Linked DNA regions of Oryzias latipes. The main gene of each other region encodes a partner of the protein of the gene in region 5 in a complex. Links are inferred from orthologs where the notes say so. Each region holds a gene or a part of one and is shown on either strand. Other genes may lie near its edges.

The links.
Region 1: pfdn6 (region 5) and uxt share a complex: the UniProt entries of both Homo sapiens proteins name them as parts of the PAQosome complex. The link is inferred for Oryzias latipes from reciprocal best matches to the Homo sapiens genes PFDN6 and UXT.
Region 2: pfdn6 (region 5) and ASNSD1 upstream open reading frame protein share a complex: the UniProt entries of both Homo sapiens proteins name them as parts of the PAQosome complex. The link is inferred for Oryzias latipes from reciprocal best matches to the Homo sapiens genes PFDN6 and ASDURF.
Region 3: pfdn6 (region 5) and ruvbl1 share a complex: the UniProt entries of both Homo sapiens proteins name them as parts of the PAQosome complex. The link is inferred for Oryzias latipes from reciprocal best matches to the Homo sapiens genes PFDN6 and RUVBL1.
Region 4: pfdn6 (region 5) and polr2e share a complex: the UniProt entries of both Homo sapiens proteins name them as parts of the PAQosome complex. The link is inferred for Oryzias latipes from reciprocal best matches to the Homo sapiens genes PFDN6 and POLR2E.
Region 6: pfdn6 (region 5) and pdrg1 share a complex: the UniProt entries of both Homo sapiens proteins name them as parts of the PAQosome complex. The link is inferred for Oryzias latipes from reciprocal best matches to the Homo sapiens genes PFDN6 and PDRG1.
Region 7: pfdn6 (region 5) and wdr92 share a complex: the UniProt entries of both Homo sapiens proteins name them as parts of the PAQosome complex. The link is inferred for Oryzias latipes from reciprocal best matches to the Homo sapiens genes PFDN6 and DNAAF10.

Annotation. Positions count from the first base shown.
Region 1 is NC_019865.2:33,765,944-33,769,932, reverse strand, and holds the start of uxt (protein UXT), read left to right. Parts: upstream 1-1,189; 5' UTR 1,190-1,312; coding exon 1,313-1,410; intron 1,411-3,989. Other genes in the region: cdk20 (cyclin-dependent kinase 20), read right to left, coding at 249-362, 445-525. UniProt on the Homo sapiens protein: Involved in gene transcription regulation. Acts in concert with the corepressor URI1 to regulate androgen receptor AR-mediated transcription. Together with URI1, associates with chromatin to the NKX3-1 promoter region.
Region 2 is NC_019879.2:16,672,538-16,675,459, reverse strand, and holds ASNSD1 upstream open reading frame protein, read right to left. Parts: upstream 1,792-2,922; 5' UTR 1,713-1,791; coding exon 1,632-1,712; intron 1,342-1,631; coding exon 1,288-1,341; intron 1,192-1,287; coding exon 1,116-1,191; intron 1,002-1,115; coding exon 961-1,001; 3' UTR 951-960; downstream 1-950. Other genes in the region: asnsd1 (asparagine synthetase domain-containing protein 1), read right to left, coding at 1-950.
Region 3 is NC_019863.2:3,775,525-3,779,473, reverse strand, and holds the start of ruvbl1 (ruvB-like 1), read right to left. Parts: upstream 2,801-3,949; coding exon 2,660-2,800; intron 568-2,659; coding exon 481-567; intron 393-480; coding exon 260-392; intron 1-259. Other genes in the region: eefsec (selenocysteine-specific elongation factor), read left to right, coding at 3,482-3,785. UniProt on the Homo sapiens protein: Possesses single-stranded DNA-stimulated ATPase and ATP-dependent DNA helicase (3' to 5') activity; hexamerization is thought to be critical for ATP hydrolysis and adjacent subunits in the ring-like structure contribute to the ATPase activity.
Region 4 is NC_019862.2:26,974,829-26,978,790, reverse strand, and holds the start of polr2e (DNA-directed RNA polymerases I, II, and III subunit RPABC1), read right to left. Parts: upstream 2,801-3,962; 5' UTR 2,684-2,800; coding exon 2,627-2,683; intron 890-2,626; coding exon 715-889; intron 1-714. UniProt on the Homo sapiens protein: DNA-dependent RNA polymerase catalyzes the transcription of DNA into RNA using the four ribonucleoside triphosphates as substrates.
Region 5 is NC_019868.2:26,685,025-26,689,051, reverse strand, and holds the start of pfdn6 (prefoldin subunit 6), read right to left. Parts: upstream 2,801-4,027; 5' UTR 2,666-2,800; coding exon 2,602-2,665; intron 2,446-2,601; coding exon 2,375-2,445; intron 2,287-2,374; coding exon 2,162-2,286; intron 1-2,161. UniProt on the Homo sapiens protein: Binds specifically to cytosolic chaperonin (c-CPN) and transfers target proteins to it. Binds to nascent polypeptide chain and promotes folding in an environment in which there are many competing pathways for nonnative proteins.
Region 6 is NC_019863.2:18,202,525-18,206,721, reverse strand, and holds the start of pdrg1 (p53 and DNA damage-regulated protein 1), read left to right. Parts: upstream 1-1,397; 5' UTR 1,398-1,441; coding exon 1,442-1,525; intron 1,526-2,276; coding exon 2,277-2,352; intron 2,353-2,494; coding exon 2,495-2,569; intron 2,570-2,648; coding exon 2,649-2,729; intron 2,730-2,804; coding exon of another isoform or gene 2,805-2,830; exon of another isoform or gene 2,831-2,871; intron 2,872-3,704; coding exon 3,705-3,787; 3' UTR 3,788-4,197. UniProt on the Homo sapiens protein: May play a role in chaperone-mediated protein folding.
Region 7 is NC_019873.2:11,204,578-11,208,519, reverse strand, and holds the start of wdr92 (WD repeat-containing protein 92), read right to left. Parts: upstream 2,801-3,942; 5' UTR 2,661-2,800; coding exon 2,475-2,660; intron 2,318-2,474; coding exon 2,217-2,317; intron 2,134-2,216; coding exon 2,003-2,133; intron 1,932-2,002; coding exon 1,830-1,931; intron 1,217-1,829; coding exon 1,101-1,216; intron 1,001-1,100; coding exon 866-1,000; intron 1-865. UniProt on the Homo sapiens protein: Key assembly factor specifically required for the stability of axonemal dynein heavy chains in cytoplasm.

The DNA.
Region 1 (3,989 bases), on a different chromosome or scaffold from region 5:
TAACAAGACGATGAATGAAATGATCTCAGCTGGTTCTTTAATGACACCAATGAAATGCCGTGGAAAGAGTTTTGGGGGATTAAGTTCATTTTTATGGCAAAGAAGGACTATGCAATTCATCTGATCATCATAACATTATGGAGTATATGCAAAATGCTATTATATGTATTTAAGCAGCAATTATTTTCCAATTTCCAACAATATTTACGTCATTCTCCAAACCTTTGACCACGACTGTACACACTCACGTGCTGGTTGTCCTCAATCTCCTGCAGAGCCTTGATCTCCCTCAGAGCCTGATTGGGAATGCCGTCCTCCAGCTTCCTCAGAGCCACCTTCTTTAGAGCCACAGTTTCCCCGGTCTGTCAGAAACACGTTCATCCATCAGCCTGAATGATCACCTGTTCAGGTGTCTGTTTTTTCTGCTCCATGAACATGTTTCACCTGCACGTGCTTGGCCTTAAACACGATTCCGTGAGCCCCTTCTCCAATCCGGCCTAGGATGCTGTACTGCTCCATGATCATCCAGGACCCCTGCAGCTGCAGCGGGGATCTTTATGGACTTGGACTTGTTCCTTTACTTAACGGTTTTTAGTCCACGGGTTTTAAGAGCGGGGCTCCGGCGCGTCCAACCAAAATAAGCACGACATTTTGAACGGAACGAGACCGGAAGTGGGCGCTGATGTTGCCTCGGTCACATCTGATAAATAAAACTACGAAACTTTAGTATATCGTTGAATATTTAGTATAGTGCTGGATATTTACTTGATGCGTAAAGCTGATGACATGTACGCGACACCAAATGTGCGCTGTCCTTTGGCACTTGACGAGATATTTTGAAAACGTTTCAACTATAGTCAACGCAGCTCTCCGCCATGTTTGTTGACAGTGACGTCATCACAGGACAATCCAAATCAACGAAAATAAAACAACGAAGAAGAATAAATAAAATTAGCACAACCAGCCATTAAACAAAAACATATATATTTTAAAATTCATATTCACATAAGGTTTAACCCGGGAATTAGTTTATGAATAATTGCCACGTTCTATATATCTGGTAGAATATGGAAGAATAAATGTAAGTGAAAATGACCAAATAACAACTGTTTGCACAAAGTGCTTTAAACATAAAAAGAAATTAAATGTTCTTTTTTCTGCTCCTCTTCTACGCTGAAACCTGGAAGTATCTTGTCGGAGTACTTCCGGTTCAGAATCTTGTTTAGATGACTGCATGTGGGGCTGTGAACTTCTTTACAAGTGTCTGAGCTGAACCGGCCCGCAGAGCCCCCGCATTAGCCCCCCATCCCCGATGACTCCGCCCACAGACGCCGGTTCTGACTCGAGGATGGAAGAGAAGGTCCTTCAGTATGAAAGATTCATCGAGGAAGTTCTGAGGAGAGACCTGCGGTAAGCCCCTCTGGGTTCTGCTCCGGTTCTGAAAGTCCCCCTCTGATGAAAATCATGTTTTGTGACATTGTGGTATTTGTCTTATGAAATACAACAAATGGAATTAGACATGGTTTCATTTTTGCATTTCTGAGTGTTTCTCCTTTTAAACCGCTGTCAATCAAACTGTCTCAAAGACGCTCTGTTTGAACTAATGCGGTGTTGTGACGTCACAAAGGCCCAGGGGAGTATTCCAGAAAGCAGGTTATGCACCCACTATTGGAGAAAAATTGCCCCAGATATTGAATGGAAGAAAGTTTGGACTTTGTCCTCTAAATATTTTATTTCAAATAAACCCCGGGATGTTTGTTTTAAACTTCTTCACAGATGCTACCCAGCCAAATCCTCATTACACATAGACATTGATAAAAATTGCTCCTTTTGTAAATTAGACACTGAAACAATTATACATCTTTTCTGGAAATGCCCCCCAACAGCAATTTTTTGGAAAGACCTTACCTCCTTTGTTCGATGTTAAATTTATGAAAAATTTGATTTGGTATACAAGGATATATTATTTGGTTTTTATAGTGTTAATAATTCACTAAGAAGGGAATACTATTTAATTAACCTTTTGATAATACTAGCCAAATTCCACATACATAAATGCAAATTTTCTGAAAAAAAGCCCTTATTCAAACTTTTTATGATTGAGTTGAACCAATATATCAAAGCAATAAAACATTCTTCCAACCCCAAAGCTATAAGAACCTTTGACACCCTGGAATTTTTTTAAATGTACAGAATAGCAACTTACTGCTTTTTCTGCTCTTGTTTATAATTTTTTTTTTCTTCTTTCTTCTCCTTTGTTCTTTTGTTCCCCTGGCACATTTTGTTACTCTTTTTTTTTATCTGTGTACTTAAAATTTACTTGAATGAGTATCTTGTATATCTTCAATAAAGTTTATTAAAAAAAAAAAAAAAGAAAGCAGGTTATGCTAGCTCCCTCGGTACGTTTGAGGCTAAGGAAGTTGATAACCTCAGCTTTCAGTTCCAGAAATAGAGGTATGTTTCAGGTTATGTCAAGTTGCCATAGCAACTCATGCTCTGAACATAACCTGGTCTGGAGCAGGTTTAGTTGAAGGTTAGTTTGTTTACAGAGAGGTGAAGCAGCATGGCGTGTCCATTTGAAGATGATTTAGTGGATGAAGAAGCTCAGATAATACTTTTTACACCATGAGAGGGTGATAAGACCACATATGGATGTTGGAAAGATAAACTTTTTTACTTTGATCTAACTTCATTATTTGCTTCAGTTAAGATAAATAATTTTTTTCAGTTCAGTCAACTTAAAAATAACACATAGTTGTCAGACAGTTATTTTACTTTCATTCAAATTAATTCAATTGAGTAGGTGTAACTTTGGTGCTGCTGTTAGATCGGCACCGCAAGGGATTGTGGGATAGCATTCCCTTTGCCTGTCTGGACGGATTTGGGTTTAAGTGTGGCTTTTTGACCAAATGTGTTTAGTTGTTTAGCTGTTTTTATTGTGTTTTGCCCAGTTATTTGTCCTACTATGCTTAGGTCTCTGCACCATGAGGGAGAGGATGATGAGATTATATATATGTTATATATAGAGAGACCTGAAAGAAAACCTAAAGTTCAGGAGGTCAGAGCAGGCTGGCTCCCCATCCTGCAGCAGGTCTCTGTCTGGCCCCCAGCTCGCCTCCTGGGAGCCGCATAGTGAGATCAACCGCTCCAGCTCCATGGGCCCTGGGACAGACTGTCCAGGCTTTAGCCGCCTTTGTTCAACAGCAGCTGGTGTAGGTAGCATAACCATTCAGCCTGCAATAACCGTTTGGGGTCCTTTCGACTGAGGATGATGTCACATTACGGTAGCCCCACTTGGACAAACTACGTAGCGTGGAGATCTGCTCGGGCTCTACATATTCTCATTTCACGTTTCCTTTTATAACATAAAGTTCTTTTCCCTCTTAAGTTGTGTCTGACATTATTCTTTGTAGTGTTTATAGAGATTTTGCCACAACCCCCTTTGTAAAGATCTGTGGCTGCTAGAATGAACCTGCTGCTCCACAGAGTGAACCCTGTCTCTGAGCAGAGCAGCTGGAGTCTCGTAGCTTCGTGTTTACAGGCAGGGAAGCTGCTTTGTCATAGTGTGCGGTCTGGAGAAGGGTTCTGAACGCAGTCCATTCATCTGCAATGCACCTAATAATAATCATAATATTAAAAGCACGTTTAGAAGATAATGTCGCTCTGTGTCGGAGCTCTGTTTGTTTACAACGGACCGTATAATATCTTCTTCTATGGTAGTATTGTCATTTGTCCAGACCAATCACTACCTGACACGTCATTGGACCAACAGACAGTCATCACATAATGTGACGTCAGCACTAGTCGAAGGACCCTGAACGGTTGTTGCAGGCCGAACTGTTATGGTACCTACACTGGGACGGTACTGAAAAAAGTCCAGCGCTTGCCGGACTTATTTGGAAAATTGCAAGAGAATTGTTACTTTCTTTCTGGCCTTTCATTTGAATTGCTGTGCAAGTGAATTCAACAATCTGCATGTCGTTGCATCA
Region 2 (2,922 bases), on a different chromosome or scaffold from region 5:
ATGCCTCCTGAAAAGAGTATAGCAATGCTAGCCTGGCCACTGCTAAGAGGTAAATTATCTTTTGCCACAAAAGGCAACGAATGAACTCGTCGCCTCACCGCCTCACTCAGGACACCAATTAGACGGTTCACAACTTCAGTTTTCTCCTTGCTGATTAGAAACTCCTCTAGATTTCCTCCAGACACCTGTGAACTGGGATTAACTTCAACCTTTTTTTCTGGAATGGACATATTCAAAGGACAAACAGGTGAAGTGATTGATAAACCTGCTCGATTTATCTCAAAATTGCACCCACTAGGGACAGAGTTAACCATCATTTCACTCAATGATGGGTTTATGACATTTCTTGCCCAGGGAAAAAGCTCAAAGGACACAGAACCACTCTGTGCAGCTGCCTTTACATCAACCTTAAACACGCCAACAGCTGGGACTTCTTTCCAATCAGACTGACCCAGCGCAGAAATCCCAGCTGCCACTGAGGTCAAAGTGAAGACACTGATCTCGGCGTCATATTTCCACAGCAAGCTGCGCCTTCCAAAAAGGTCTCTCCCAAACCAGAGATAATCTTCAGCCTTTTGATAGAAAACAAATGCCCAAGGCCCTTGAATGGCAGACAGAAGTGCCAGAACCTCCAAAGAGTTTTTACAAGATGACAATTTCTGACAGATGACAGTGGTGTCATTCTCTTCTGGCATCACAGAAATCCCTCCAAAAACCTCTCCATTCCACATCAAGACATTTCCAGCGTCGTCTTGAAACGGCTGAAGAGTAAGGAGGCCTCTCATATGGAGAACATGGGCAGAAAATGAGCAGTGATAGCTCAAATCTACAGCAGGAAACGATAGCTCCCTGCTAGAGTTGGGGCCCCTTCTCTTCAGAAATTCATAAATTCTTTTGTCCTTCTCAAATTGAGCAGCTGACAAAGTCAACTGGAAAAAGATTCCACACATTGTTGCAGCTCTAAATATCCTGCAGTTCTTTTTTCAAGTAATCCAGTTCCTCTGCAAGAATAAAAATAAAAAAAGTTTTAAAAAAAAAAAGGTGAGTTATATTGTAGTATGGTACAACATTGTAAAAATTTCAATGCAAGAGGATAAATGAATACTAACACATACTTCTGCTTGTAGACAATGTTTGACTTCTGTCAGCCAGGAAGAAAATGTTGCTGTTTCTCTGTTGGATGTAAACTTTCTGAAGAAAAGAAAAAAAAAATCAATAAAAAATGAATTTATTACGACGGATGGATGGATTTATGGATGGATGGATGTAAAAAGGTAATTACCGTACCCTGTTCTTCTTTAGGTTAGAGAGTTCATCCACAACGACCTTTTGCTCTTTGATCTGGAAATTAGCAACAAGTTAACGTTAACAACCCTATGATGATGAAGCCATCAGGAGATGTATCCCATCATGTTAAGTTTTAATTTAAAGATCAGCAGTCCTTCATTTTTCCAGCAAACATGAGAAAATCGAAACTTATTAAAACAGTAAATACATACTATTGGTGCGTAAATACTAACAAAAGTATTGCTATTCGTTTTTCCGTTCTACTATACATGCTGAAAAAGGTGAATAAACATATCCGTGTTGTTTAGCCAGCTAACAGTAGCGCGTCTTTGATATAAAGTTACCTTTTTACTGAGTTCCTCTTTATATGTGGTTTGCTCTTGGGAATTATCGCTGTTATTGTATTTTTTTGAAGACATTTTCATAAAGGAGCCACGAGGGAAAACTTTTTATCTAATTTTTCTCTTAACAGCGTCTACTTCTGCGACAAACATGTCCGGATATGCGTCATAACCGTTCCGGGTGAAGAAATAGGTGGGGAGTTCGAAGCACACTGCCGCCTAGAGGCCAGATTTGTAAAACACCCGCTACACATCTCAGGGTCCGGGGCCTGCCAAATTATAGGTAACCAAGGGGTAAACACAGATTGAATAAGAATGTCTTTAAATAACAGATTTGATGTAATTTACTTTCTTAAGACTAAAAAAATAGTATTGGGCTACTACAAAAAAGTTTTTTAAACGGAATTGGGTTAAAATTTAATCAGCTAAGCAAGTTCGAGACAGAAGAAGTTAGACTTTTCTGTTTCTACCCGGTTTTAATTTTCATTTAAAGTGACACTTCCATATAAGAAAAAAGCAACAAAAAGAAACACTGATTAAATAAAATCAATTAAGCATAAATTAAATAATGAATCCATTGCACATCTGATATGTTGATCATTTTTGATCAGTTTTCAAAACCACCTGAAGCTATTAAGTAGTCTTTAAAAACACCCAATTAACTGTCTGTGTCTTGTTCCTTTTTTTCTTTTCCTTTTTTTTCTGACATCAGAGCCTCTGAAAGCTGCACCTTTGTTAACCCTACCCTTTACTTTAACCCCAGAAACACTTCTTAAAATATTGCTTTTGGGGGGAAATACACCTCCAGCCAATTGTTGCTAGGCTGGAACAGTATCTCTAGTTAAAAAAGTATTTTTTCATTGTTTACTTGTAAAACTAAACTAAAGTAGTGGCTGAAGACAAACCAACCTGCCTTGTCTTAAGATAATTTAGCTTTTTTATATTTTAGTTATAATATGACATGCTTTCATCTGCTGATGTTGAATCATCAAATTAAAAATAACACATGCAAGTGCATTTTTTCGGGGACTAAAGCTTTTTGTTGACTTGATCTGTCTGTAGACGAACAGATGCTTAACCCCCTTTAAAAGCAGTTTCAACCTAACCCCCACCTCCCTGCTCAAAGATCACACAACCAAAAAAAAATGAATGTTGAAATACCTGCTGAACTCTGCAGCTTATTTCAACCTTGTCTTTGCCTTTTTTCTTTTGAAGTCTCTCAGCATTTAAATAGCTTTTGCATACCTCATAGTTGTTTTGTTTTTTTTACTCTTCAGTTTGAGTCAAAACTGTG
Region 3 (3,949 bases), on a different chromosome or scaffold from region 5:
TCGGACGTCGGTTTCCCAAAAATGTTGAATAAAAGACCAGGTTGTCACACGGACAACCATCGTGTTCATTTGGGGTTGTCCTCCGGGAAATCTGGTTGTCTCTGACAACAGGATAACTGCTTATTTCAAACGCTGCAAAGTTGTGAAAAAACGTTTTTTCTCTGCTTTAACAAACCCTATGTCTTCATGGATATAATTCCAAAACTATCTGGCTTGGTTGCCATGGTTCCTGTTGGATAAATGGATCGATTACACTCACCAATTGCCCTCCTGAAATTCTCCATCAATACTTCTGTTTTCTTTATCTCAGACGAGTAGACCTCACTGCCCACCATGGGGCAAAACGGAACCTTGTTCCCCAGCTCCTGAGCGATGGCCAAAGCCAGGGCCGTCTAAAGGCAGAAGACACACGGCGTCACAGTAAGAGTCTGCATGAAGGACGAGCGTTAGAGTCCGCCGGCATCTTCACTGATGCTTTACCTTTCCTGTTCCAGGGGGTCCTGCCAGTAAAATGGCCCTTCCTGCCATCTTTTTGGCCTGGATCAGCTCAACAATAATGCCACAAGCCTAAAGGGTAGAGAAACCAAAGAGAAATACAACATTTAAAGTAGGGCTGCACGATATGAGGAAAACTTGCGATATGCGATATTAGTGATCAATATTGCGATAACGATAAATTTGCGGTAAATAAACAAATAGAAAAATAAACAAAAACATCATTCCCATTTCATTGCAACAGTTTAAAAATTATACTCCAAATGACCCTCATCGACATGGGGGACAAACGTCAGGGTGGCTAACCCTGGTCCTCAAGAGCCTCAACCCTGTCTGTTTTCCAGTTCTCCCTAGACTGCTCGATAATGATAACCAAAATCAGGTGTGTTCAGTCAATCAGGATGTGAAATCACTTGAGTCAGCCAATCAACAGCAAGCTGGTTAAGGAGAGCTGGAAAACAGGCAGGGTTGAGGCTCTTCAGGACCAGGGTTAACATAATAGGCCTCCATCTGATTGGTCAACAATGGGAAGGCGTCCATCTGATTGGTCAAAGCATAAAGGGATTTATTTGATTCGTTAAATGCTTCAAGCTGCTAGAAGATTGTTTTAACACATTTTGGGCTTGCGATTTATTGCGATATTCGCCGTCTTTTGCGATATGCATATTGCAGAGCTGGATATTGCGATAACGATAAATTTGCGGTATATTGTGCAGGCCTAGTTTAAAGTATAACAATGAGGAAAAAGGAAAACTGTCTTTATAACTACGATGTTGAGTAAGACTAATAAACAGAAACGTGAAAGTTGCAGGTCGATTTGTTCTTTTGTGTGCCACAGGATGTATTATCAGATACATTGATATTGTTTTGGTGATATACATTTTTGCAGGACTCAAACTGAGATTTATAAATGTCATTTCAACGTCGTATCAAATCAAATCAAACTTTATTAGTGTAGCACTTTTCCCTCTAGAGCCCCTCAAAGTGCTTTACACAAAAACATGTTCAAATTTTAAAAATTTAAAGCAAGACGTTACATTAATATTCGGTAGAAATCCCATATAATGTCGTCGTCGCCCCCCCCTCCCCACCGCCCACTCAAGTTCACAGAATATGCTACCACAGGACCCCCCCCCCCCTAAAAAAGGCTTAAGAATACCATGATACTGGCCCTTTAAAACCAGCACAGACAATCTTGTTTGGGTAGGTAAAAACACAAACGGAAATTATTATTATTATCGTTTATTTTTTTAACTTTGCCAGTGCAGTGTTGATTTTAATTTTCCTTATAATAGGATGATTCTTAGGTAAGAATTCAAAACAGTGTTTAAGTGCAATCGGTCAGTTGAAACCTCCGACGCATGTAAAAACATATTTTAACATCCACCCAATACTGCTTTTAGAATGGAATGAAATTAAAAACTGAAGTAATACATCATGAAATTAAGTTGAAAATCCTGTTATGAACTTCTTCATCAAATAAAAATAAAATAAAACGTGTTTTAGAGGCGATTATCCTGCCTTGTTCCACTTTAGAGTCTAGAAAATACACTGCGATCTATATAATGTATTAGAGTTTTCTTTGCATTTTTAATTATTTAGCAGCCATAATGTAACAATAGCAAACAAAAAACACAAAAAAAATAATATGATGACTGTTTATTATGGTTCCAACAATTTTCCATTATAAAGAAATAACTGTCAGTGCTGTTAGTTCCATCCAATAAATAAAATTAAATAATCTACAGATCACATTTGACTTTATGACGGTTTTGATGTAGATTCTTTGTCGACTTACAAATGTGTAATAAGAAATATACCTTAGTTTGAGTTTCACATTTCGTTTTTCTTTCCCAATAAAATAAAAATTGTACCTGTATGATGGAAATATAATCAAGAGATTTCAATTCATTTTTTTAAATTTAATTTAAGAAATATATTAAATGAAATAAAAAAAATAAATCGCTACTTTGGAAACTGTGTGTTAATTTAACTAAGGAGGAGTCTCGCAGGTTATCTGAGAAGAAAACTACGCAGCTGTGCTAACTCAGTTAGCATCAGGGGTTAGCAATTTGCTACCGTGTTCTCATAGGAACTTATGTGCAAGTAATGTCTGAAGGAAAATAAAATACAATTGAAACAGAAAAAAGATGATTAACATCACCTCTCTGGCAGCCTCCTGTCCGACCAGTCCGCATGCTGTCTGTTTAGCATTGCCGGCCTCGTCTAGCCCGAGTCCCTTGACGTGACTGTGTGAAGCTATTCGCTGGGTCTTTGTGGTGCTTTTTACCTCCTCGATTTTCATATTTGCAAGTGTTACAGGAGCACTGGCTATAATACTGTCCAAGCCGCAAAGTAAAGTTTAAAAAATGTCACCTAAGTGTCTGCGTTTCTCTGACCACTACATGAGGCGCCAAAAGTCAAAACACGGTTTCCATGTGGGTTACCAGGGGAAAAAAGCAGGAATCGACACCCCTGAGGTACCGCCCATTTTAACTAGTCTGAAAACCATTGGTTTTCCTCATGATAAGAGCATTTCTGATTAGTCAATGTTCTGTCAATCAAAGTTGAAACCACACCCCTGTTTCCTCCTGTGCTTCGTTTTATTTTGTTGTAATAGAAACACACAAAAAAGGCCTCAGTATAAAAAACACTAATTGATCGATAATTTAAAATATTTATTTTATACATAGAAATATATTTCTGTGTTATATTTTTTTATTAAATTGTAATATTTAAATATCACATTTTTCTTATTTTGGTTTGTTCCCCGCATATAAACGTTCCGGTTCGTCTTGTAATCGGGGACGAAATAAAGTGTAAGCACCATAAACTCTGCAGTTTTTTAGGGACACTTTAGGCACCGAAAATGACTTGTTGATTTGACCAACTAACGCAGTGAACGTTATTTTTTTTCCAAATAACTATCAACGCGGTGCTCAGGTTTCAAGGTAGGAAAACGTTCGTGCTCGGAAACTTCGAGAGGATGTCCGAGTCTCATGACAGCCGCACGAAAACGTTAAATTTCAACGTGGGGGTCCTCGGACATGTCGACAGCGGGAAGACGTCGCTGGCCAGAGCGCTGAGCAGCACCGCCTCCACGGCTGCTTTCGACAAGAACCCACAGTCCCGGGAGAGAGGCATCACGTTAGACCTCGGCTTCTCCTCCTTCACGGTGGATTGTCCGGATCACCTGCGGGACGGCGGGGGCCTGAAGCCGTACGACAGTCTGCAGTTTACCCTGGTGGACTGTCCAGGCCACGCCTCTCTGATCCGAACAATTATCGGAGGTAACGTAAACCTGTGGAAGATCATGGATGGACTGAGCATCATGAAGGGTCAGGGGCTCAAGGTCCAACATTCCCAAGCCCTCCGAGGCATTCAGACAGTATGCAATGGTGGCAAAGGCTGTTCTGTTATATGATTGATTGATTGATTGATTGATTGATTGATT
Region 4 (3,962 bases), on a different chromosome or scaffold from region 5:
ACACTGAACCTCTTTGCTATTGCCAATAACTGTGTCTGATCTGCGAAAAAGAAAAATGATAAAAAGAATAGGAAACTGTAAAAAAATATAACCTGTTAGACTCAAATGAAAGGTTGATATTTTCAACTGAACCTTAAATATTGATGGATTACTTAAATTTGTATTTTGACTTGTGAAAGATTTAAAAGAGGAAATTGACTACAGTTGGATATGACATTTATAAAATAAATCATGTAAAAAGTGCCGTTGCGATTGGTAAGGTTAGTGTGTATTCTTCTCATAGAATGGTGTTAAACAGCGTTCAGTTGTCAGCTTTGCTCGTCTAAAACCAGAAGTACGGTGACACAATGGCGCCCATGTCTCTGTTTTGTCTGACGTCACCATGAAAAGGGTCTATTGGCTTCATTTCTCTGGAGCCGGAAGAAAGGCGACGTCACCATGGCTCAATTCTCTAATAAAGTCAATGTAATCTAATGGGAGAGTGTGTAAACAAAAAAGGGATGATGGGATATCAGCAGGGGCTTACGTCCGTGCCAACAGTGATGCCCACACAGGTTTTTATGAATTTGGCTAAAAACAGAGCATTCATAAATATAATACCACTGGGGACTCCTTTAAAAATAAATCGAAATATGATTGGAGTGTAACTTAAACTTTTGGTTATTTTATGGATAAAAGGATGAGTTCCCAAATTATTCTCAAGTATAAACCTACCAGGAAAGAAAACAAACATTTGATCAGTGGGATCATCGTTGTGTGCGACCAAGACTGTAAGGTCCGTCCGTCTGGGACGACCCTCGCTGGGTTTGTCTCCGAATTGACTCTTGAACTCCTCCAGGGTCTGGTCCAACTCATCTTGTGTTACCAGATAGCCTCGATCGTGGCAGAGCTGTGGTTAAAAAAAACAAACAACATTTTAATATGTATAGTGTTGGCCAAAGGTTTTGAGAATTACATAAATATTGGAAATTGCAAAAGTTGCTGCCTAGGATTTTATAATAGCAATTTGCATGTTCTCCAAAATGTTACAAAGAGTCATCAGATGAATTGCGTAGTCCTTCTTTGCCATGAAAATTAAATGAATCCCCCCCCCAAAAATCATTTCAGTCATCGTCTTTTTAACTCAGTTGAGAATGTTGACGAGCACAAGACTGGAGATCATGATGTCAGGCCGGTTGGGTTAGAATGGCAGACTTGACATGTTAAAAGGAGGGTGATGCTTGAAATCATTGTTCTGCCACTGTTAACCATGCTGACCGGCAAAGAAACGTGTGCAGCCATCATCGCGTTGCATAAGAATGGCTTCACAGGCGAGGATATTGTGGCAGCTAAGATTGCACCTAAATCAACAATTTATAGGATCATCAAAAACTTCAAGGAAAGAGGTTCAATTCTTGTTAACAAGGTTTCAGAGCGTCCAAGAAAGTCCAGCAAGTGCCAAGAATCGTCTCCTAATGGGTTTTAACTGTGGGATCGGAGCGCCACCAGTGCAGAGTTTGCTCAGGAATGGCAACAGGCTGGTGTGAGCGCATTTGCATGCACAGTGAGGCGGAGACTTTTAGAAGATGGCCACTTATCCACCCCAAAAACAAACATCAGGGACAGATTGATCTTCTGCAAAAAGTATGGCGAGTGGACTGCTGGGGACTGGGGCAAAGTCCTATTCTCCCATGAAGCCTCTATCCGATTGTTTGGGGCATCTGGACAAAGGCTTGTCCGGAGAAGAAAAGGTGAGAGCTACCACCTGTCCCGTGTCGTGCCAACAGTAAAGCATCCTGAGACCCTTGATGTGTGGGGTTGCTTCTCATCCAAGGAAGTGGGCTCATTCGCATTTTTCTCCAAAACCACAGCCATGAATAAAGAATGGTGCCAAAACTCCCTCCAACAGCAACTTCTTCCAGCAATCCAACAACAGTTTGGCGTCAAACAATGTATTTTCCAGCACGATGGCGCACCGTGCCATGAGGCAAAAGTGATAACTAAGTGGATCGGGGACCAAAATGTTGACATTTTGGGTCCACGGCCTGGAAACTCCCCAGATCTTAATCAATCTGGGTTGCTATCGGTCAGGATTTGGCCCTAAAGTTGATTGACAGCATGCCCAGTCGAATTGCAGGGGTGCTGACAAAGGAAGTCCAACACTGCAAAACCTGACTCTCTGCATAAATGTCATATAATTATTGTCGATTAAAAAAAGCCTAAACGTAATAAAGAGCTGATAACTATATTTCAGTACATCACAGAAACAAAAATCTAAAAGCAGTTTAGCAGCAAACTTTGTGAAAGTGTATTTAATGATTTGAAGCATTCATGTTGTCATACATGTAGTCTACATGTACGAAAACATGTTGGCTTTTTTTAATGGGTCATCATGGGTGTGCTAAAGTTAGCCTTCGTTCAAACGAGGCTAACGAATGCATCATTCCTACACATAATAATTAAAAAAAAAAGTCTGAGCGCGTAATTGGAACGACTTGCACTGAGAATAAGAGATTAACACACAAAACGTAAAAGATTTAGTTACAACTTTAACAATGGCAGTCAAAAGCGACTCTTTAACGCGAGCCACATGTGAAGCTAACAGCTAGTTCGCTGCTAAGCTAGTATATCCTTTTATTTAATCCACCTGCATTATTGTTTTACGGATCTTCCACAGCCGGTAAGTTTCCTCTTCATCGTCCATCCTTTCTCAATTTATTCTCCTTTTCGTATTTTTAAATCACTAATATTCTTCTAAAAATCCGATGGCATCGATGGTTCCTGGCTTGGCCAATATTATATACCACAATGCATTGCGTTTGATCGAGTTGACGTTTAAAAAAACTGTTCTTAAAGAAAAGTCCTCCAGGTTATTATCTTCAGAGCGAATTTATTAAGTCTTCATAAAATGTTCTTAATTATTCGGTATTTTTTTTTAACTTCGGCTAATTGGAAATGTAAATCTGAAGACAATTTACTTATGGTAAAAAAAATAAATTAAAATAAAAATTTGCTTCAGAATTAAAAATCTCTTTCTAAATTTATTTTTTACTGACTGAATTTAGGTTTTAAAAAAGCTTAGTATATTTTGCTAATAATAAATAAATATATCACCTTCTATGTTTTAATTATGACACATTTTATCTATAAAAATAGATAAAATCTTAGAATGTAGACGAGGGTCATTGAGTATAATTTAAGTACGTCATCTTGACTCTTCTTTAAATTAAACTGTTGCAGTGAAATAGAAACTGTCTTTTGGCTGTTTTGCTATTTGTTCATGTATCGCTAGTTATATCGTCATCGCAATATTGATCATTGATATCGCAGAACGCGAGTTTCCTCATATCGTGCACCTCTATCTCCTACCCCCCCCCCTTTTTTTGAACGTTTTGACCTATATTTTATTTTTATTTTTGTTTTGAAAAACCTCATACGTCATTTCCTCCTTGTCTTGTCAAGCATTTGACTCCACCCACTTGAGTTTCACAACACTGGGTGGAAATGAGTCACGTGCGCTTACAATGAACAAAATAGATTTTTTCCGATAACTGGGGCCTTTTTATTATTATTTTTATTTAAGTCGCTGTCAAAAATGAGGCCATTAATTGTTATGTTGACAGTTGGGGCTATAGCGAGCAGCGGAGCACTGCTGGCGATGGTACTGTACTTTGTTTTGTCCACCACGGTAAAGTATTTCTTCTCTATAACCTGATTGCATAGCCTAGCACAGTGCATGCGTTTCCATTGGAGTACATGTATTATTACATGTCTATGCATACGTAGGCATGTCTCCTGTTATTGTTGTGTTTTTGTCATCGTTCTGCTTAACACCTCGTAAGGAGATTTCTCCATAAGCTCATAAACCTCTTATATTTGTTAGCCAGCGAGTTCTGGATGGTTCCGAACAGTCCGGAACAGAACAGACTATAGTCACAAACGCTGGAGCAGCGCCAGCATCCTTCACTCCGTCTGTTCACTGG
Region 5 (4,027 bases):
CTGAAGTAACCAAAGCACGTGACCAGTATTATAAAGAGAAGTCTAAGAAAAAATACAATTTTAAAGACAGAAAAAACGCTCAATAATAATCTCCAACAGGATGAATGAGCTGCTGTAAAAACAAAAGACTTGTTTTTACAACACAGTACAGAATATCAAAGCTAATTCTTGTTTTAACTGAAGAAAGAATTACCTATAGAAAATAACAGGCAAAATACTTGTACAACATAGATATGTAAATAAATAAACAAGAACCTAAAATAGTGTGACACAATCCTCCTTTTGATTAATGCTAAAGTCATTTTTGACAGATTTAAGATACAAACTGCTTTACGATTTCAGTGTCCGACGTTAAAAGATGAAATACAAATGACACTAGGGCTGCACGATATGAGGAAAACTCGCGATATGCGATATTGGTGATTAATATTGCGATAACGATATAATTTGCGGTATATAAACAAATGTCAAACCAACCAAAAACATAATTTCCATTTCAATGCAACAGTATAAAAATCATACTCCAAATGACCCTTGTCGACGTAGGAGGCAAACATCAAACATAAAAGGGCTCATTTGATTGATCAACAGCGTAAACGGGTCCTTCCGATTGGTTAAATGCATAAAGGGATTTATTTCATTTGTTCAATATTTCAAGCTGCCATGAGTTTGTTTTAGCACACTTAACCCTTGTGCTATCTTAGATGACCCCCCCCTTACATTGACGTGTTCTCCCTACCATGACAAAGGTGGACAAAGGTGGAAAGATTTCATGTAATCCATGGACACCAGTGAAGATCACAAATTATTGAAGAAAAATTGTTCAGTGCACTGTCTAGTGGGTCTAGATGACCCAACTCCCAATGTTAAAGTGCCTAGGATAGCACAAGGGTTAAGGTAACCATTTATTGCGATTTTCGCCGTCTTTTGCGGTATGCATATTGCACAGCTTGATGTCGCGATAACGATAAATTTGCGGTATATTGTGCAGGCCTAAATGACATAATGAGACGATAAAAGCTAATAAATAGGTTAATGTCAGAATATTTATTCACAATTACTATTCATTTGTTTAAAATAAATGATAGTTTGTATTAATTGAACAAACAATTTAACAACTACAAACATAATGATATGAAATATAATATTATGGGGAAAAAACCTGTCCAAAAGTATCTCAGATGCATGGACAGCAAATATAAAACTATTTTAACTTTAAGAACATGTAAATATTATATGACATAATTAATTTAAGGCCCCAAACGGACAGCTGTGGGATCCCATTTATTTCTTTTTTGAAGGTACAACCAGCCAAGGTCAACTTTTATTTCTGCACAACCCTTTTTTCATCAGCCACTTTTCATCTTCCATTAATTTAAAAGAAACTATGAGTACAGTCTTTATTATATATTAATGTAAAAAAAAACACAAGCATATCTGTGACATGCATCTGTTTTCCCCAGCATAAAGTGTGTCACAGTAATGAAAAAAAGAAATATTTCTATTGAATGAAGCAACATAATACCTGATATAATCACTTAGCAACACTGTTAATTTAATTTTAAAGCAAAAGCTGTATTCATTTTTTTAATATATTATTTTATTTCCCCCAAAATTTGACTAATTACTCATCTGGGGCACATTGGACCCCATTTATAATGTAAAGATATAAGATAGTTTTCTGTCTGCTAAAATGTCTATATGTTTAAATACTACAATTATGGGTTTCAGGTCAAAAATTAAGCCTTCACCTTTCAACTGTCAGTCTTAGGATATAAGATTGTATCAGTAGAAATTGAATATTAAAAGGTTCAAGGTATGGCGTAAATTTAAGGCAAATTATGTGATTCTATATTCTATAAAGACAGCTTAAATCAGGTGTTCTCGTCGTGCATTTTGTTTCTCTATTTATTCAAGGTAGAACTCAGAATTTGTGGTCAAAATTTTACCATGGCGACGAAATATGTTCAAGTCTATCCTGAATTTTCAGAACTACCCATAAAAACTAGATTTCCAGCTTCTGTGGCTGATATTTCATTACAAATAAATGACTATAAACGTCTCTGCTTATAGTAAGTGCTATATATTATAAACTAAAGCTTGAAAATATCATTTTAACTAGGGCATCCCATACATTTTCTTTTGTATTTCTTTTCCTTACATTTCTCCATTGATGTACTCCAGTCTTTTTGTGACCGTGGCCTTGGCTTCATCCAAGTCTTGCTTCACTAAAACTGGACCGATAAGCTTGTAAATGGTGTTAGAACTGTCCAGCAGATCGAGCTCCTGGAAATATACAGGTCACATCTTCAGTCAAACTGAACATAAAGATATCTAATGGACAAAAACATGTTGTTAAGGGTTAGGCGTGTACCTCTTTGACTATGTTGTTTTCTGTCAGCTGCGTCTCCAGTTTCTGCCTGACGGACATACTTTTACTCACATCTGAAAAAAAAACAGACATTTGTAAGTTGTATTTCTTTTAATACGTCAAATCTCAAAGTTACTTTAAATATTTGAAACATGGGTGCAGGCATGGCTAACTAACTGCTGCCCGATGGTAACAACATCATGGCACACTAGCAGCTAACAGGTACCTACCTTTCTGCACCTGCGAATATTTTTCTAATTCCGCTTTTAATTTCTTTTGAATTGCATCTGCCATGTTTTATGACTTGTTTGTAATAACCGTGTAAACGTTAAATAAATGTATCTAGAGGTTTCAGAGCTAACAACACAGAATGGGAGAACTGCGCTAGCTAACCGGAAGGAGCGACGGATTTAGCGGAAGTTGTGAAAGATTCACTGCCATCCAGAAAATCGGAGTTTCCGCAGTCGTACAAGAGAAGAGTTTTATCAAATATTTTCTATTTCTGTCCAATGTATATCATATTAGATGAAGAAATTGCATGAAATTTGAAAAATATCTTATTTGATTAGGATTTTTTTGACTTAGTAGTTATACACACAAGTTATTACATTATTCTCATAGTCGAACAATAGAAGATAATAGATATTTTAAACTTTGAATTGCACACATAACATTTAAAAATAAAATTAATTGCTGCCACATCTCATTCAAAAAGGTATGGATAAATCTTGGTCCACCAGCTCTGATCAGTCTAAGGGGATCTCCAACATGGAAAGAGTTGATGTCCTCTCTGTATTAAATCATAATAAATCATGTAAGGGGCTAATACCTGGCATCAAGCCACTGACCTTCAAAAATCACAAGAGAAATGAAAATTGGTTTTAAAAAAAAAGTGAGACGGCAGTTGCCCAATAAAGTGGTGGACACTCAGGGACTGTGACCCTAAAACTGGGAGAAAGATTTAAGATCAACTTTATTAATCCACTTTCAAGATCAACTTTATTAATCCACGAAGGGAAATTTGAGAAAAGCGATTCTTCAACAATAGTTTTGCCTTGGTTTGCTTTACATCAATAAACAATAGAACCTTGGAAGGTTTAGTAAGTCAGATAAGTAAGTTGAGGAATAAATGTTTGTATGGACCCTTTGTGTGCGTGTGTGTGTGTTTGTTTGAACAACTTGTTCACCTCTCGGCAGATCCCGTCATTTGTCACCACAGTGGTATTTTGATTGGAAATAAATTGTAGTATTTGTAGTATCATTGTTTTAATGAAAAATCTAAAATGCAAAAGTGGTAAGTAGTAGTAGTAGTAGTTGCTGTAATGGTAGTACATTTGTATGGGTTTTTTTTTTTATTAAAAATCTAAAATACATAGCAGTTGCAGAACTAGCATCATTATTATTTGAACAAAAACCTAAAATAAACAGTAAGCCTGTGGTAGTAGTAGTAGTAGTAGTAGTAGTAGTAGTAGTAGTAGTAGTAGTAGTAGTGGTCATGGAAGTAGTATCGTTTTGATGATTCAAAATCTAAAATACTTAGTAGTCGTATCATCATGTTTTGAACGAATTTCTAAAATACACAACGAACGCTGTTACTGATGGGAAGATTTTGGTTTTAATTATGCAATGAAAAAAAATTAGACAACCACACATCAC
Region 6 (4,197 bases), on a different chromosome or scaffold from region 5:
ATCTGTAAATGTGCATTTTATGATTGTTTTGAAGCTGTTTCAGGGGAAAAATCCTTCAGTATGTTTACATAACTGCTACATGTCAAGGAATATGGACAAGCCTGTATGTTTTTAATTAAACAACAAATCTTTTAAAATGTTTGTTTTCATGTCCTAATAACTTGATTATGAAGCTTGTGGTTTGTCAAAATAAATAACAGCTACATTTACAAGCAGAAGGCAGTAATGCTTCCCAACCCTGGGTTTTATATTTGTCTTTCTGCACGGATCTTTCTCAGGTTTTTGACCTGAAGATGTGAAAAAAATCTGAATTTTATTTACAGAGATTGAGATATTTTTAAATCTAATGTGTTGTCTAATGTTTCAGTGTCCCCCATCCGCTTAAGTCTAAATTTTAAATACATGATCAGAATAAATTTTGTTTAACACTTAAAAAAATACAAACACACCCAATAAAGCAAACAGATGAATGAACCAGTGGTCCAGGTTTAGCCACTTAATTTTACTTTGGGCAAATACTGAGACAAAAAAATGTAAACTCTCTTTTCATGTACATTTGGATAACATTTATACTATACGCAGCATAAAACACAGCTGTTTATTCATTTCGCCTCCTCAGTTTCCAAAAAAGCAGTGAAATCAAATGTTTGTATGGGCATCAGAAATATTCTGCTTGTCATAGGCCAATGGGAAATCTTATATGTTCAGATGGTTCAGACTTAAGTTCATCATTAGCAAATATTAAAAACTGTAAATAAGAAAGTAGACCAGATATTTCCAGCAAACATTGGGGGTTACTAAAAACAATGCGGGTCATTGTGATATTTTCTGGGTTCAGCTCATATAGAGAAACAAGATGATGAAATAGCCACTAAATGTGCTTGAATAGTTTCCAATAAAGGATTTTGAGTTAAAGATCAGTCTTAGCAAAGCAGAGATAAAAACATAATCAAAGAGAGAAAGAAATATGACGAAGACACTGGGAGAAGGAACAAAGGAATAATAGAGGGGAAAATGATGAGAGCGGGACAACATAGGATAGGAAAAGAGCAATAACTAGATTGAGACGTAAGACTCGAACGTTTTTAAAACATGAATACATTTTTTTTAAACTAAAAAAAAAAAATCCAAATTTAAACAACCTTGAAATGTTGAACATGAAGTTTGAGGTATCTGTAAATTTAGGCAATGGTCGATGTGCGCTTTTTTTTATTTATGAAATTTTTGCAAATTAAGATTGAATTCATTTTTTGAGAAGATTCCACTCGAATGTAAGTAAGAACGTGAAAGTTAAGAAAAGATCCCGGTTTACACTCCACTCCAGTTGGCGGCGGTAACGACCAGCAAGCTGTTTGCCTACCGCCAAGAAAATGCAGAAGATGAAGCGTTCCGCCTTCTCTTGTGTTTCTCGTAGAACATATTTAGATGCGACACCGCCAACATGGATGCGGGTTCGCAGCGTGTGCTGGACTACCTGACAGAAGTGGAAGAAGCAGCCGAGGAGGTTATCACAACCAAACAGCAGGTATGTTGTGACGAACCGCAAATCGTTTCTTTTTTCAAAAGTCATGTTTAACATAGATAGCTTCAGCTAGCAAAGAGGTCACCGAACCGCTTCACTAGCTTAAAAACAAGTGATACTGAAGTTCAAGTTGGGCTGCCTGGATGATGATCATGATGGATCGAAATTTCTGTTCACAAAATTGAGTAAAAAATATCCTAAAATAATATTTTATGTCATGTTATACTATGAATTAGATGGCGTGTCCAACAAAATATTTTTTGTATTGATGATCTGTTTGGGGAAATTCCACTCACAGAGATGTAAACAAAAAAAGAAGTGTTTTCCTCTACTTAAACGTAATAAAGTTGAAAAGAAATTAGATAAAGATTAGCTTGATACCACTCTTGAAGAAAGACAGAAATTCAAAAGTTCTGCTTTCAATCTGGCTCTATTTGACATTTTAAAGATTTTATAAGAAATTTATTTGCAAATGAAATTTTCTATAAACTACAAGTGGATATTTTAGCAGCTAGTGCAGCAAACACGGACAATTTCTCTTTTAACATAAAATCTACTATAAATTTTGATCATAATATCTGTGACATAAATGGACACTCTGTCTTTGTTAGTTTAGTTCACTTTATATTCTTTTTGGCTGTCACCAGCCAGGGTCTTACTTTGACCCATTTTCTTCATTTAATAACCAAAAATTGGATACTAAATTAGGTAAATATGAATTCATGTGTCTTTCTTTTTTTTTTCTTTTCTTCAGATAGTGGACCTGGACTTGAAGAGAAACCGGAACAGGGAGGCGCTGAACGCTCTCAAACATGAGCTGTCTGATTCAGGTGAGGCAGGACCGGGTCCCGTCATGTTTAGAGGCAAGAAAGGAAAACCTGATCGCTGCATTTATGAAATATGTCAGAAGTGCTGCTGTTAAATAACAAACCCAGCCTTTTCCAGCCTTAATGTTCTTGTTTTTGTTTGCAGAGAATGTGAAGGTTTGCTTTGGAAACATGTTTATTGAGTTTGACAAATCCAAAACTAAAGGGATGGTCCAGAAAGGTAATCCTTAAAGAAAACACACTTCCATGCTTTATGTGTTTATTCATAAAAATAAAAATGTATTTCTTTTGTGCTGCAGACCAAGAACAGCTGGATAAAGAAATAAATAACCTTCGCAGAGAACTGAAAACTAAATTCAATCATCTCAATGAGATTCAAGGTATGCAACTCTTTCAAAATAAGAAAACAAAAAAGGAAAAATTAAAGCTGACAATTTTAATAAAACGCTTTACAGGCTGTGTAGCAGAAGGGGAAACGTGATTCCTCCCTCTGGTCCTGCCCTCCTGTTGGAAGGAGAAGAGGTGTTGCATTTCTCTTTTGGATGAACATAAAGGGGTTTTGGGAAGAAAAGAAGTGCTGTAAAACACTGGTAGCCATTTGGAACAGAGGATGTTACTTTTGACAAGTTGAAAACTCACAAAACTCAAGAAAAGTTAATAAGCTAAAATAGGTTCCTAATTCCAAAATGTTAAACTGACATTTGTGAAAATGTGAAATATCAAGACAAATTAATTAACAGCGTTCATTTGGGGCTTTGCACTGTTTCTGTAGAGTTCAGTTACACAACGTACTTGTCGGTCGTTCCGGTTGAAGCCAGTTGCGTAACTGCGGAGTCCTAAGGTGACACAAATAAATACTGCAAGCTAAGAGTGGAAACACCAAGACAACAGCAGACCTCATAATATATCTTTGTTTACAGATTTCTTTGCATTTTCTCTGACTGAGCTGCTGTAAGGTTCCAATGCCACAAGGGGGCAGCACACTCAAAAGCAGGCGAAATGTTAGTCTACAGATGTTTTCCACCTGCTCACACCTACAGACTGATCTGATCTGCACATGCACTCTTCTAGACACTCAGTTCAGGAGCCTTTACTCTGTGTCCAGGTCACTACAAACATTTTTTTTAATCATTAGTGCGTCTCTAGAGCTATCATTTTCTTTAGTAAAATACAAACAAATTAAAATAAAGTACCGTAAAATGTTTGCACCAGGAGGGGTAAAACTGTCTCATAACAACAGCAACTAGTGGAAAAGATGCCCTGACGCTTCATTCAAACATTCAGAAGTCAAAGTAAGTTTCATCAATTAAACTTTTATTATTGAATAGCTAAAACTATTCCCTTCATTTCTGTAGGTAAACCGGAGCTCAGAGGCTACAGACTGTCTGCACTGTCCTCTGAGGAGATCAAATCTATCAACAGCCTCCTGAAGACCTGATTCTCCGGCTGTTTCGAGTCACTTCTGAGAGAATGAAGCGCCAAAGCTGCAGGCCTGAGTTCCAGCGCCACATTTAAACATCATTTAAACATGCTTATTAAAGGCACCTTGGCTGGACGGTTGGACTGTCGGGGATTCGTGCAGGACACTTCTGCAGGTTCAAAAGATGACAAACATGTCCTTTTTTGCACCCGGTTCCTGGACTGTTTTAATAAAGTTCATATCTATTATATTTACAGTTTTAAAGTTGTTTCCTTTAGTAGACAGCAGCAGAATCTATATTAAACATCTTCTAGAATTGTAGTAGTTAAAGATGGCTGTACTGACTGGTCAAAGTCCACTTTCCAAACTCTCTTTAAAGGAGATGTTTGGATGTCCATGTTCCTCTGACTCTGAAGTTTTTGTGTAAA
Region 7 (3,942 bases), on a different chromosome or scaffold from region 5:
AATGTAGCCTCATGTTTAGTGCCAAAATATGTGATGAAAAGGCCGACAAACAGCTAAAAGTTTAAGTATTTGAAGACATTACAAACTTCTTTTACATCAGTATTTACAAAGAATGTGCTGAAAAGGCGATACATAAAAAAAACACAAATAAATAAATAAATAAAATGCTGAAAATACTACAGATGCTAAATCCTAACGTCAGTAAAGAGGCTAGTTTTAGCTAAAGAATGTTGAAAATGCAAACGGTGTGTTGAAATTATTTTAATTAATAAAATTATCTAATAAATTTTAAAGTGTTAGCTTAATTAGGAGCCTCAGTCGTATATATATATATATATATATATATATATATATATATATATATATATATATATATATATATATATATATATATATTATCATCATATATATAATCATCATGTATATGGACATACGTTACTCTGAAAGGCTTAAGAAAAGAATGATTCAGGCCCTTGAGGCACTTAAATAATAAAACAAAAGCCAAAACAAACTGAAAAGTTACATTTCACTACATATGTGAAAGCAATGAAATAATGAAATAAAAATAAGAGATAGAAATGAGAAATAGTGTTGGTTATGCTCAAATTGTTCTGAACATTGAACGTTTGAATTTGTGAATTTAATGTTCACCTTCATTAGAAAAAAAACATTTGATCAGTTGATCTTCCAGCTGAGCAAAAAACAAATGTTTGCAGCTCCTTTGTGAGCAGACTGGCTCCTGCTTCAAGACATTTGCAGCAAAACAGTTCTGTTTGCTTTGACTGCTGTTGTTTTTAGAGGGATGCTGTCTCTTTCTGGAAATGCTAAAATGGTGCACCTGACTGAGTCCCCAAAGGTTTGTTACCTTTTCAGAAACAGAGGCAAAGCCTTTGGTGTGGTGCTGCGTCCTCATGTCAAACACGTGGAACCGGCCCTCCAGAGACGTGGCCACCAGCTTGTTCATGTTGATATCTTTCCTGTCAAACTCCACGCAGCAAACCTGAACGTAACGCAGGAAAAAGGAATCCCAGTGAGAACCCACACAGAATCACAGCATCATTTATGATCACGCACATAAACGAGTAATGTCCTCAGCCCACCCCGTTCTTGATGTTGGTTTCCCATCGCAGAGACATGTTCCTCAGGTCAAACAGCTTGACGTCTCCGTTGTCGTAGCCGGCACAAACGCATCGGTCCTCTTGGTTGAAGGCGTGACCTGAAATCGTTTTAAGAAAGCCGGTTATGAGGCCAAACGAATAAAAAACAGGCTTTCACAAATTTATGAAGGATTTCAAAAAGTTCTGTACTGTTGTACACAATTATAGAATGTTATAGAACTTTATTTTACTAAAATAAACAGCAGGATGAAGATAAATCATATTTAAGCCAGAACTGTGGCATAATTCACAGTGTCAAAGGCTTTATGGTGTCAAACAATCACAACCCAATGACGATTTTGATTCGTAAGGAACAAATGTGTCTATATTTTCTGCTATGCTGTGTCTGATTACATTTTTGGTGCCTGTGGACAAATTTGGTTCCACCCTTCTCTGCAGAATTGCTTTATTCAATCACATTTTTGAGGATTTTCAGGAAAAATGTTCGTTTATTTAAATTAACCGGAACAAATTTGAACGTTTTGACACTTCAGAACCCTTACGGTGATCCATATGACTTTAGTGATACCTCAGCATGCTGTAGCATCAAACTGAACTTCACCTTTACCATCTTTTGTGGTGTCAAACAGGGACTTTCCTGTCCTCTGAATAGGTAGCATTATATCCTTATGGTTTAGAAGTGAAAACTTTTATTTTGAAAATTCTGCTCACCGAATGCAACAGTCCAGCAGTCCCTCCTGGTTTCCCCTTCAAGTGGTTCCATGTTGGCCACAGGCCAGTCTCTCTGTCTGGGATCCCACACCTTTACTGTTCCTGTGAAAACCCAACAGAACCTCAGATCCACTCTTGCTGTTCTAACTGTGTCTTGCCTCTATGGCCTTCACCATCTCTGCTGCCGGTCACTATCTCAGGAGCGCCTTCTCCGATTCCCAGACCTCCGACTCCGTCTATACTGTTGACTATTTCCTTATGGGCCTTCACAGAGTACACAGGCACATCAGCAGCCTCTAGATTCCTGTCCATGACAAATCTGTTCAGAAATCACCTCAGAAAAACACAACACATGGATTTTTGCAGGAGAAAATGCAGACAAAATACCAGATATTTAGATTTCCATCAAAATCCCCGGTTGCTATGTGTCTGGTCTGCAGGGAAGATGCCCCAAACGTGCCACACTTTATAGGTTTGGGTTTCTCGAGCTGAAAAACATCACAGGTTCTTATATTCTTAGCACTCAATCTGTGTTTGCTGGGTTAGGGTTGCCATGGCTACAAGCGAGAAAACCTTCTCTGGACAGCTCAGAGCAGCTCGTTGAGGTTAAAGGTGAAAGATTTCAACATGAAGACATCAGTGCACCTCTTTAACAAGCTGTACTTCTCCGTGCTGCAGCTCGTGGATCTGGATCACCCCGGTTCCTCTCGGAAAGTTGCCCAAACAAACAAACTTGGCGCTGCAGGGGATCCACTTACAGTCGAACACAGTGAAGTTTAGACCCGTGTGAGCATGCGCGATGATCTGAGGCTTTGACAGCGAAGACGACATATTCACCGAAGCAGAAAACTACGATTTAAGCGAATAAACCAAAGCAAACATCGAACATCAAATAGAACTTTGCGCTACAGAAAATCTACCAAAATATCAACGTTAGGTCCTGACTTTATAGGTGCCCACAAATATGCCTGATTTTCTCCCGATATTTAAAAATAAATACATTAAATTATTCTTAAAGCACATACATAAATATTTTTTTTACAGTTATTTGGATTTAAAAAGCGGGATGGTGATTAAATTACATTTAAATTGTACTTTTTGATACACCTGGTAATAACATTTTGTTTCGAGCGTCGACGACGCCACCCTTGGGGTCCTTTTCAGTGCACGAGGGCAATCTCGTGCGTCCCCCCGTTCAGTCCACACCACCCTTTTAAGGACTTTATTAAACTTTTAAAGACTGTATTTTGCCATGGACGCCAGTGAAAGCGGAGCTACGGCGCCGGAGAAGCACGATGACGGGGAATCGTTTACGAAAGTGAAGTCAAAGAAGAGCCAGAAGAGAAAACTGGAGCCAGACGGAGGCACGACCATGGAGGTCGAACAGCCAAATAAACGCCCGCATTTTCCACCCATCTCAGCTGACAAACTACGGGTATTTACAATGTGTTTTCATTTCTGCCTCTGCGATTTCACGGGTAAACCACAAACGCGAAACCGACTTAAAAACGCTTGTTTTGCCAAAGCGCTGTTCCTTTAAATATTGAGATGCTTTGCGCATGTGCACAAGTAGTGAAGCAAGGATGGGCGATACCAAATAACGTATTTGTTGTTTTTCAAGTTTTTCTTTACCGATATTAATATATTCTTGCACCAAATTACAAAAATATTCGTATGTTTTGCTCTTTTCTATATAGAAAATATTCTGTACAAGATTTACTTTACACGAATTTAAAGTTAGAAGACATAAGTACATAAATAAATGTTAATACTTTTGGATGTATGTCACGTTTGTGAGCAATACTTTTCCCATGAGTCAAGTAGTTTATATTTAGTGTAATTTAAGAATGTCTCTGTCCGTTTTTAATAAATTATAACGGGAACTGTCAAGTGTATCTGACATTTGATGCGGCCCAATAAAACATTCCTGCAGTGTCTCCTTATGGACAGCGGGTGGCGCACGTGGGGCCTCTTTGATTTCTTCACACTGTTTAGCACTTTTAAAAGTGCCAAGATGTAATGTCTTTTACCACTTCAACTTTTTTTTTTTACCTAAGGGCCTATGATGACTGAACTTGGTATTGACGTCTGATTGGTTCCTGGGATCACGTGA